2 linked regions of the Schizosaccharomyces pombe genome follow. Changing the gene in region 2 together with the main gene of any one other region gives a genetic interaction. Each region holds a gene or a part of one and is shown on either strand. Other genes may lie near its edges.

What was found.
Region 1: of gal10 (region 2) and ght2, changing one enhances a phenotype caused by changing the other (phenotypic enhancement), as found in Schizosaccharomyces pombe (one study listed by BioGRID).

What each region holds. Positions count from the first base shown.
Region 1 is NC_003423.3:3,424,879-3,429,952, forward strand, and holds ght2 (plasma membrane glucose/fructose:proton symporter Ght2), read left to right. Parts: upstream 1-2,281; 5' UTR 2,282-2,693; coding exon 2,694-4,289; 3' UTR 4,290-4,546; downstream 4,547-5,074. Other genes in the region: U1 snRNP-associated protein Prp39, read left to right, coding at 4,923-5,014, 5,062-5,074. UniProt on the Schizosaccharomyces pombe protein: High-affinity glucose transporter.
Region 2 is NC_003423.3:4,483,299-4,489,243, forward strand, and holds gal10 (UDP-glucose 4-epimerase/aldose 1-epimerase Gal10), read right to left. Parts: upstream 4,238-5,945; 5' UTR 4,121-4,237; coding exon 1,979-4,120; 3' UTR 1,859-1,978; coding exon of another isoform or gene 761-1,858; 3' UTR 725-760; downstream 1-724. Other genes in the region: galactose-1-phosphate uridylyltransferase Gal7, read right to left, coding at 1-380; tgd1 (nucleotide-sugar 4,6-dehydratase), read left to right, coding at 761-1,858; galactokinase Gal1, read left to right, coding at 5,193-5,945. UniProt on the Schizosaccharomyces pombe protein: Mutarotase converts alpha-aldose to the beta-anomer. It is active on D-glucose, L-arabinose, D-xylose, D-galactose, maltose and lactose.

The sequences.
Region 1 (5,074 bases), 1.1 Mb from region 2:
TGAAAGAGAGCGTTTACCCAAAGTAAAGAAAATGATATAAATATTGTTATTTGTAAACTGTGGATAATATGGGAATCGATGGTGTACTGGACGCGCAAATAACGAATTTTACGAGCCGTCCTATTAAGAAATACAACAGCCGAGAACAGAAGAGCAGTCACAAACCATTTTTTATTCCACAATATTAGATTGTATTAACACAAATAAAATTTTTTTTTCAAGGCATTCTCTACAATATCGAAGACATTCAACGTATAAAGGTTAGTCTTGATTCAAATACTTACCCTTGTAATTTCAATTTAATGTTAGACAAAGTTATTGCCCCAACGTCTCTGGAAAACGCGGATGCAAATTGTGGAGGAGGCAGAACTGGAAAAAGTATCAGCCAATCATCAACATGTCTGAAAAAAAATTCCAAGATATTTCTAAGCCTAGCTCGTAAAAACGGGTGACAAGACATGTATGGCGCTATCGAAGTACGAAAATAGAAAATTGCCAGACGATATTAGAGTAAAAGACACAAAAAGAATTTCATTTATTCACCCTATTATAATTTTTCAGCTTTCATCAATGTATGCGTACTAACTAAAAAAATTATCGGTGGTCATTTAAAAACAACAAAACCATCCAGCATTCATCACATGTCTTTCATCCAATCAAATGTAGTTATAGCTATTATCGTCCAATAGATTGCAGAGGCGGGATCAAAATCCCCTTAGGCAAAATTGGTAGGCTTCTCCACAGTTTTTCTCAGACTTGGGAAGAATGGAGCGGGGTAGGGAAATATAGCAAGACCCTGTCTTACAATGATTGGGCAAAAGCTTCACATATATGGGAGCAATATATGTACAATAGGCGCTTTTCACGGACATAGCAAACCTTGTTAGTAATGAGTTGGGCGTATTTAAGGAGGTCCCAAGGCCTCAAAAGTCGTTTACCAAGTTCATAACTTTTTAGGGACTACGTTAGTTAGCGATGAATTAGTGATGATTTAGTGTGCAGCGTTTACATTTTCTTAACACAGACAATTGCAGTACGGGTTACAGCTCCATATTTCTTCTATAGTCCGAATGAAGTATGGGCGTACACGTAATCAAGGGATAGAAGTATCCTTTTACACCGAACTGTTCAAGAGCGAATATATCGCTTGAGAATTCTGTTTTTTTTTGAAAAGGTTCATTGTCCATCCATATTTACCTTCTTGTTAGGGAGTCTCGCTAGGATGGTTGGTGTCGCGGTCGATGTATGGTCTCCAGGTTGGGGGCCCCTAGCTATCCTGACTTGGATAGGACAGAGATAAGATACACGTTGCGTGACGTTTTCTTAAAAAAAAAGAGCACGGCTATGCTCTATTCATGTTACTAGTTAATACTAGAGGAACTCCGCATTTAGGTTAGTTCCGTTATGGACTCGAATATGTGGAGCTCGAGAATGCAAGCAATCGAAATTTGAAGGATTATGGTTCCGTAACGTTAATTGTTCTATTGCCAGCTTTGAGATAGTCATGCAGCGATGAGAGTATGCTGTGTTTTAAACTTTGATATTTGCTGGTTCCAATACGTATGGCCACCATTGGTATTATTTTTTCGCCTTGCGAATTAATTTTACTGCAGACACTTTACTTCTTTTGCCTCAGGAAACGTTTTTTTGTGTTCAATCTTGATTTAACGATATGAGGAGTATAGAAATATACTTGGTTTTTTCGGTTACTTTGCTAAAATTATTGACGTTGGAATACACTCTGTATTTGCTAGCAGTCCGAACTTGCAGCCTCGGTCGCCAAAGTATTTAAATTTACTTTACTTTTGAGAATTATTCCTACATCACATTTATTGAAAGTCGTTTTTTCATCCTGTTATCGGCTTTCTACCTCACTAATAGTGTCTTTCCCCAGTATATGCATCAGTTTCATTACGTACAGTGTATCATTTTACGATTGAATTTTTTTTTTTGCTATGGAGAATTAATGATATCGTGACATTTTTACCTCGTTCTTGACTTTCAACGAGCTGTTGATCCTCGTCATACACGTCGTTTAAATTCTATTCCACATCTTATTCGTTCTTATTTGTGTGTGACTGCGTTTTTTTAAGTCGGCGTCCAATGATACAAGAGTTTGCTAACTACCTTGTTGCCCTTGTAATATTGTGACGTATAACCAAAAACTCTCCGGCGATCCTGTCTAAAATTTCACTGAAAGCAAAGGACTTTTGATACTTTTGTCGGGGTTTCTCTTCCCGAATTTAGTATAAAAGCTGCCCTCTTGACTGTTAAAATCTTTACCTAGACCTATTCTTGCTTTTTAAGTGCAAGAGCAACTTTAGTCTTCATTTACCTAAAAATCCTTTCTTTTTTTGGTTAAACAAGAACGAAATCCAAAGAAAGCTCAATAAAAGCATTGTGCTTTCCTTGGTTACCCTTTCTTTATACCGATTTTGAAAATACAAGCTCTCTGTGCTTGAAAATCATAATCTAGATTAATTTTTCTTTTAATTTTTATTTATTGAGAATCTCTTGTCAAGATCTCTAACTCATAAACTGTCTGTTCTTTGTTCTATCATTTCTGCTTAACGTGTTGCAACTGAAATAGACGTGTGGTTAATTTTATTCAATCTTTTATTTTCCACTTACATCCTTTCTATAGAATTTTTGTTTTTTTTCATCTTTATTAGATTCCTTTATACTTTATCAAAATGGGGTTCAAGCGTGGAAAGAATTTTACCCTTGTTATGTTAATTTTCGTCTCCATGGCCGGTTGGATGTTTGGTGCTGATACCGGTTCCATTGGTGGTGTTACTAGTATGCGCGATTTTCGTGAGCGTTATGCTGATAGATATGACCCGATCACCGACCAGTATTCTTTGTCTTCGGCTCGTCAAGGTCTTTTAACTGGTATGGTTAACGTTGGTTCCTTGTTTGGATGTATCATTTCTTCTCCCATTGCCGATCGTTTTGGTAAGAGACTTTCTATCATTGGTTTTTGTGCTGTTTATATCATTGGTATCATCGTTCAAGTTACCGCTGTTCCCTCTTGGGTACAAATCATGGTTGCCAAGATTTGGACTGGTATTGGTATTGGCGCTCTTTCTGTCTTGGCTCCTGGATATCAATCAGAGACTGCTCCTCCCAGTATTCGTGGTACCGTCGTCGTCACTTATCAGTTGTTTGTCACTGGTGGAATTTTCATTGCCGCTTGTATCAATATGGGTACTCACAAACTTCATAAAACTGCCCAGTGGCGTGTTTCAATTGGTATTAATCTCCTTTGGGGTATCATTACCATGATTGGAATTCTCTTCCTTCCCGAATCCCCTCGTTATCTTATTCAAGTTGGCAAGGATGAAGAGGCTGTTAGAGTTCTTTCTGAAAGTGCTGAGCTTTTTCCTGATAGTGAGGAAGTTCAAAATGAATATCACCGTCTCAAATCATCTATTGACGAAGAATTTGCTGGTGGCCCTTGCAGCTGGGCAAGCATTTTCGGTAAAGACATTCGTTATCGTACTTTCCTTGGTATGTTTGTTATGTCGCTTCAACAATTGACCGGTAACAACTATTTCTTCTACTATGGTTTCTCAGTTATGCAAGGAGCTGGTATTAATTCTCCTTACCTATCTGCTATGATTCTTGATGCAGTTAATTTTGGCTGCACTTTTGGTGGTATGTATGTATTGGAAAGGTTTGGTCGTCGTAACCCTCTTATCATTGGTGGTATTTGGCAGTCAATTTGCTTTTTCATTTATTCAGCTGTCGGTTCTCGTGCTTTATATCATAAGAACGGTACTTCAAATACCCGTGCTGGTGCCGTTATGATTGTCATGGCATGTCTTTTCATTTTTGGATTTGCTCAAACTTGGGCTCCTGCCGCATACGTTATTGTTGGTGAGTCATACCCTGTTCGTTACCGCTCTAAGTGTGCTGCCGTCGCTACTGCTAGCAACTGGCTCTGGAATTTCCTAATTTCATTCTTTACTCCATTCATTCAAGCTTCTATTGGATTCAAGTACGGTTACGTTTTTGCTTCTTGTAATTTGACCGGTGCAATTGTTATTTTCTTGTTTGCTAAAGAGACTAAAGGTCTTACTTTGGAAGAAATTAATGAGTTGTATATGTCTGTCATCAAGCCCTGGGAATCTGGTAACTTTAAGCTTAACTATTCTGAGCAAAAGAAAGTTGAGAAAGAGAAATCCAGAAAGGGCGGTGCCCGTGGTGAGTCTGTTGAGTATGTTGAGCGTGCTTCAAACACTGACTCATCTCCACAATACTCTTCCCATGAGGAAGATTACGCATAAGGCAATAGCTAAACGTCTTTGTATGATTTATGAATTGTGTGAGGCAGCTAGATCCAAAATTTGTTGTTCCGATTCGTTGGGTCTATATATTATATTATTAGCTAAGTTTGGATTGATAATTTGTTAAGTTACTGTGCATCTTAAATCTAGTTTTTTGAGATTATGTTCGTTTGCATATAATATTAGATACATGTGCATTCTTTGTCCATTTTTGTGTTTTTGTGTTCATTATAGGAAATAATATTTTTTATACCTAATTAAGTTTTTGTTGATTCGTTGCTTAGTAGCTAAGTATTTCCAATGTTAATAAATATTTGTAAATGTTGAAGTGAGTCATGTTTATACAGTGATTTGTAGTTGAATTTTCATTATATTAGTAAGTCTGTTACAGAACAATAATCATTTTACGCTTGTGTATCGCCCAAATGTACTTTATTAGTTATTAATTTTTAAATCAGCGTTGCGGGCAGTGTCGTATTATTCTGTATGATACGATTCGGCAGACTAATGTACTGCACTAAACTAATATTGTAATTTATTTAAGTTCAACCGAATACGGCTGAAGAAAGTATATTTCGTTGCTGTTCGATATTTACATTTTATCCTTACGCGCTTTTATACTTGCGAACCAAAATGGATTATGGGGATATTTACATTGCAGAGGAAACAGAATGGGATAAATATAATCGTCAAATAAATAAAAATCCAGATGATTTTGATGCTTGGTAGGATGTTGTCAGATACAACTTATTTAGTGCTAATTATGATTTAGGGAAGGACTGGTT
Region 2 (5,945 bases):
TGGTTAGGACAAAAGCAAATAACAAAACATTTTCCCTTCACTCCTTCTGTCTTAAACATCCTTGTTTTTAACGTATTCCCCTTCGTTATTTCAGATTCATCTTGCATATAATCTGGTTGATCAACTCTCACCGCAGGATAGTCATTGGGAAAAACATATGTTGTCTCATACTTCGGATTTTCAAAACCTGTAGCCCTAATATTACCAGGGCATAGGTAACATGTTGGATCGTACTTTACAGTGTCATCTTTCTTGATCTCTTCTTTAGCTCCCTGCCATGGTCTCTTTGCTCTATGAGGTGAACACAAAACGTACGAATCCGTTAATGGATTATAACGACGATGTGAATACTCGGTAAAATCAAATTTTTTGCTAGTCATTCCTCTTTGCTTCCCAGTACGAGCAGCTGGATTCGTTCGGTATATATATACCACTTTCTTACATGTTTTGCAAAATATCCGAACCCGCAATTATGTGGGGGGCCAAGTAAGTAAAACAGGACTAATATGATATGAATAAAGTTTCAAGCTTCTCATGCATTGTATGTTAAGCGGGACACATGCGGAGGTTAGATGAAATAAGTAAAGGGATCCACAAACACACGGAAAAGGGGCTGGAAAAATTACGTTGCTTATACGGTCTTGATATCATAAATATCATCATTCATTTTGAATAAAATAAAACCACGTCTACATTTTTTATAATTCTATTTTTTTTTAAAAAAAGTACGTTTCTTAAATTTATCTCGTTGGCACTGATAATGACTGGGGACTATAAAGAATATAAAGGATATGCATTGATTACAGGAGGTGCGGGCTTTATTGGGTCAAACTTTTTAGATTATGCTGTGGACAAATACCCTGACTTTCACTTTACGTGTATAGACAAATTAAGCTATGTGAGCAATTATACCACGGTATTCTTGAGCAAAGTTTTGAACCAACCTAATTTCCGATTTCTTGAAATGGACCTGGCTACGAATTATAAATTCTTGTATCAATTTATGGTTGAAGATTCCGAAATTAATAAAATTACGCACATAATAAATTTTGCTGCCGAGTCCAGTGTTGATAGATCGTTTATCGATCCTTTGTACTTTACCAAAAACAACATTTTGAGCACTCAAAATTTGTTAGAGTGCGTAAGAATACTTTTAGGTAAAAAAGAGGAATTACGTAATCGACTCAATTTCGTTCATGTTTCTACTGATGAGGTTTATGGTGAGCAGGATGAAAATGCATCGGTAGATGAGAAATCAAAGTTAAACCCCACCAGTCCTTATGCCGCATCCAAAGCTGCTGTTGACTTGATAATTCAATCATATCGATATTCGTACAAAATATCAGTGACTGTGATAAGAGCAAATAATGTATATGGTCCTCGACAATACGAAGAGAAACTAATTCCTATGACTCTTGGAAAGCTAAAGAAGTTCATTAACCAAAAATCTCAGAAAATAATGCAAGACAAAATCACACTGCATGGAGATGGGTTACATAAACGAAAATATTTGCACATCTACGATTTTATTAACGCAATAGACTTGGTCTGGATGAAGCAGGGAAGTGAAGTTTATCATAGCACACTTGAATCTAAGATGTCTGGCCAGATTTTCAATATTGGTTCGGATGATGAAATCGATAATCTAAGTTTGGTCAAGTTCATTTGCGACTATTTCTTATATCGAAAGCTGTCTTTGAAAAACTTGGATTATTCAAAATACATAACGTTTGTTCAAGATAGAAATTACAACGATTCAAGATATTCGTTGAATTATGAAAAAATTAAAAGTTTAGGTTGGAGACCTCAAATCCCATTGGAGACAGGGCTAAGAAAATTAATTGACGAGTACTATTAATGAGAAAAAACTGAAAACACATAATAATACTTTAAAACAACTTTAACGTTGTAAACCACAAATTTCCTTTTATTGAACAAAAAGATGCTTAATCGGCTGGGTTTTATTAAGTTTTTTCATTTAATAGTATTCTCCACTATTGTACGATGCTGAATCTAAAAAATGTTTGTTTTCTTCTAAATCTTGTGCGTAAAGGGAGAATTTCGACCTCGCACCATAAACTTCACCTTTGCGTAAGATTACCTGTTTTGACCATTTCTCATTATTCAAAGCGTTGATAAATCTACCTGTTTCCACACAAAATCCGCTGCGACTTTGAAACTCACAGATGTCATTTCCATCACCGGTGTAAAGTTGAAATGCAGGTTCTGTTGTAGACACCACGAGCTTCACCGGCACAGAGGGATGTATTACTTCAACAATATTTTTTAAAGAATACTTTCGTGTGTCCAAACAGAACTTGCTAGCTTCCCTGTCTACTATAAAGCAATTGTCAAACGAGATGTTTGGGTCAAGCTTGGTTGGTTTAGTTATGTCATTTTGCCATTCGACAATATCACCAGTCGGTAACGAGGTTTCCGAATTCACTTTTAAATAGACGTTAGTCGTGCTTTTAATTATTGTTCCGTCAATAGTTTTATTAGGAGAGGCTAAATTCCAGTAAGAATGATTTGTCAGATTTACGGCTGTTACATTGAGTTTCGAGTATTCTGGAATAACAGATTTGTATTCAATTTCCAAAGAGTTATTTTTGATTGTATATTTGACTAAGGTTTCCAGGTCAGAAGGAAAGCCGTTGTTACCATCTTTGTCAACTAAAATGAATTCCAGTGTATTGTAGTCCTCATACTGTCGAGCGATAGGCCCCAAGAAAAACTGCTTATCGAATCCATTATTTCCTCCATGTAAGGTGGTTTTATTGTTTTCGTTCTTACATAATGTGTACAAATGTCCATCCACTTCAAATTGTCCATTCGCTATTCGGTTGGCAAATCTGCCAATTGTCGCCCCAAAGAACGGATTCTCTTTAAGCTTATACCGTGAAAAATCATTAAATCCATTTACTAAATTCCTCCCTTTATATCTTACTGCTTGCACTAATGCTCCGTAATTGGCTATGGAAACCTCAAGATCTTGAAAGCAGATAGTATGGAGTCTATTCTTATAATCCATAATCCCAAGAGTGTTAAACAACTTCCATTTGTAGTTGTCAATTTGAAATCCAAAAGGATTTTCGATCGTCCATTTCCACAAGTCTCTACAAGCATCTGTAATACTCAATTCAGCCTTCCATTTTAATTCACTATTTGCTCGATTCGGGCTTGCTGTCAAGTTGAGAACATCACCTGTTCTTCTGCCCACCACTTCATACGGTAAATCTTTACCTACTTCCTTACAAAAGGCATGATAAATATCGAACACGGAGGAACCTTTTCCTGTTCCCAAGTTCCACTCTCTGTACATTCCTTCACTATTATTGATTTTGTTTAGGTAGTTTAAAGCGGCAATATGTCCCTTAGCTAAATCCACAACGTGTATGTAGTCTCGGATAGGAGTCCCATCATGGCTATCGTAATCATCACCAAATACTAACAACTTTTCTCGCCTACCGATGGCTACTTGGGCTAGAAACGGTAAAAGATTGTTGGGAATACCCAAAGGGTCTTCGCCAAGTAGGCCTGATGGGTGAGCTCCAATTGGGTTAAAATATCTAAGTATTGCGCCTCGCCAAGTATTGTCGCTAGTGTGCAAATCTTTAATGATATTTTCAATAGCGTACTTTGTTTTCCCGTATGGATTGGTTGGGTCATTAGGACACGACTCTGGGATTGGAATCATGTTGTCAAATCTAGTAGCATCGCCGTATACGGTGGCAGATGAGCTAAACACAACTGTCTTGACCCGGTGTTCACGCATTACATTTAGTAAAGTAATAGTACCGCAAATATTATTGTCGTAGTACTCCAGTGGTAATTTCATTGATTCCCCAACTGCTTTTAAAGCCGCAAAATGAATAACACCCTTGATTTTAAAGGTATCAAAAATTTGAGCCAAGCCTTCTTTATCGCGAAGGTCAAGCTTAAAAAATTTAATTGATTTTCTCACAATAAATTCGACTCTTGCTACAGCATCATAACACGAATTGCACAAATTATCTACAATTATTACTTTATATCCATGGTTGATTAGTTCAATGACTGTATGTGAACCAATGTAACCAGCGCCACCAGTTACAAGAATGTATTCGTCTTGAACCGCCATTTTATAAAGAACAAAAAGGAGCTTAAAAAAATACTCAAAAAATTTGTTTTCGAAATATGGGTTAAGGTTCTTTAGGGGCTTCTTATGTTAGCTTTAATATGCGATATGTGTGTGACTAGAGTATCTCCAAACGTAAGCATATATATACAATTTTAAAATGTAACGTGGCTTCTCCAGGCGTACAATCACATTACCCCAAGTTTCGTTAATTAAACTGTGACTTTCTGCATCGAATATTCTAGCCATATTCAAGCAACAAAAGCTCCCATCTTCTCCGCTTTATTATAAGCTATGATTACCGGATTTCGTAAAAAAGCGCATACCCAACAGTTCTCAACTTAGGTTGGTGCTCTATTGGTTCTTCTCAGTGGGGTACGGTTCGTTTAAATGATATTAAACTGCATGCTATTACATGGTTGAAACGTTAACTTACCCATCTTTTGCGGATTGAGAATTTGATGTGGGGGCACAGAAGAATAAAGACACAGATGTTCCATTAAAAGTATGAGAATTATTGTCATTCTTTTGGTGTATTTTGTAGTCGCAAGGTCTTTTATAAAAAATTACCAAGTATTTCGCAGAGAATTGTCCGGAGGTTGAAATAAGAAATTAAGAAACTTAATACAAACGGAATTCCAAAAATATTTTTGCAAAGCCTTTATTTATATTAAACAACTGATATTTTTTAATCAATGTCACAAAGTTATTTTTTATGAATACCGTTTTCCGAACCCTCCATGCAACACTTTTAACTTCACCGTATGTCTCAGGTAACGCAAAGTCTAAATGACATAAATCAGTAAACAAGAAGTAAATAAGGCAAAAAGGGTCAAACTTTTGACAATTTATATAATCGTAGTAGTATAACGTGGTTTGCTTGACTGATCAAACTAATTTTTAAGGCAAGAAGAAGTGTTTATCGATTTTCAGAGCAAATAAACAAAAAGATAAAAGCTGCATCTATATTTTTTCAAAAAGAAGTGAAAAAAGGAGAGAATACCTTTTCATTGATCATTTTCAAGTTTACTTTTTCTTTACCACATTTGTAATTTTTTCTGATTGGTCTCAAATTATGGCTACCGTTCCTACATATCACGACTTATCATTTTACTCCAACCCAAAAGAAAACAAAGCTAGGTATGCAAAGTTGCTAAACAGTTTTGAACAAAAATATCACTGCAAGCCAGATTTTTTTAGTCGCTCGCCTGGCAGAGTAAACATCATTGGCGAACATATTGACTACAACTACTTTTCAGTATTGCCAATGGCAATTGACGTTGATGTTATTGTTTCAGTTACCACAAGTGATGATGCCAAAGTTGAGTTGAATAACACGAATCCAGAATTCAAGGAGGAAATATTGGAATTACCGAGTGACGGGGCAGTGATTGAAATTAACAAAACCCACCACACCTGGGGAAACTACTTTCGATGCTCTATGATTGTTGCTCATAAATATATTTTAGAGAAATACCCAGAATTAGTCAGTGGGGGTAAGAAGCCTTTAAAAGGATTAAAGTTGATTTTTGATGGTAACGTTCCCACTGGTGGAGGACTATCATCTTCGGCGGCCTTCTGTGTGGCATCGATTTTAGCCATTTTGAAAGCCAATGGAATTAATACAATTACCAAAGAAGACCTCGTCAAGATTAGTGTTGTTTCCGAGCATTATGTAGGTGTCAACACGGGCGGTATGGATCAATGTGCTTCTATCTATGGAGAGCAAAACAAGGCGCTTTTGGTTCAATTTAAACCAAAGCTTATGGCAACACCGTTTAAGATGCCGGTACTCAAACCTCATGACATGGTATTTCTAATCTCTAAC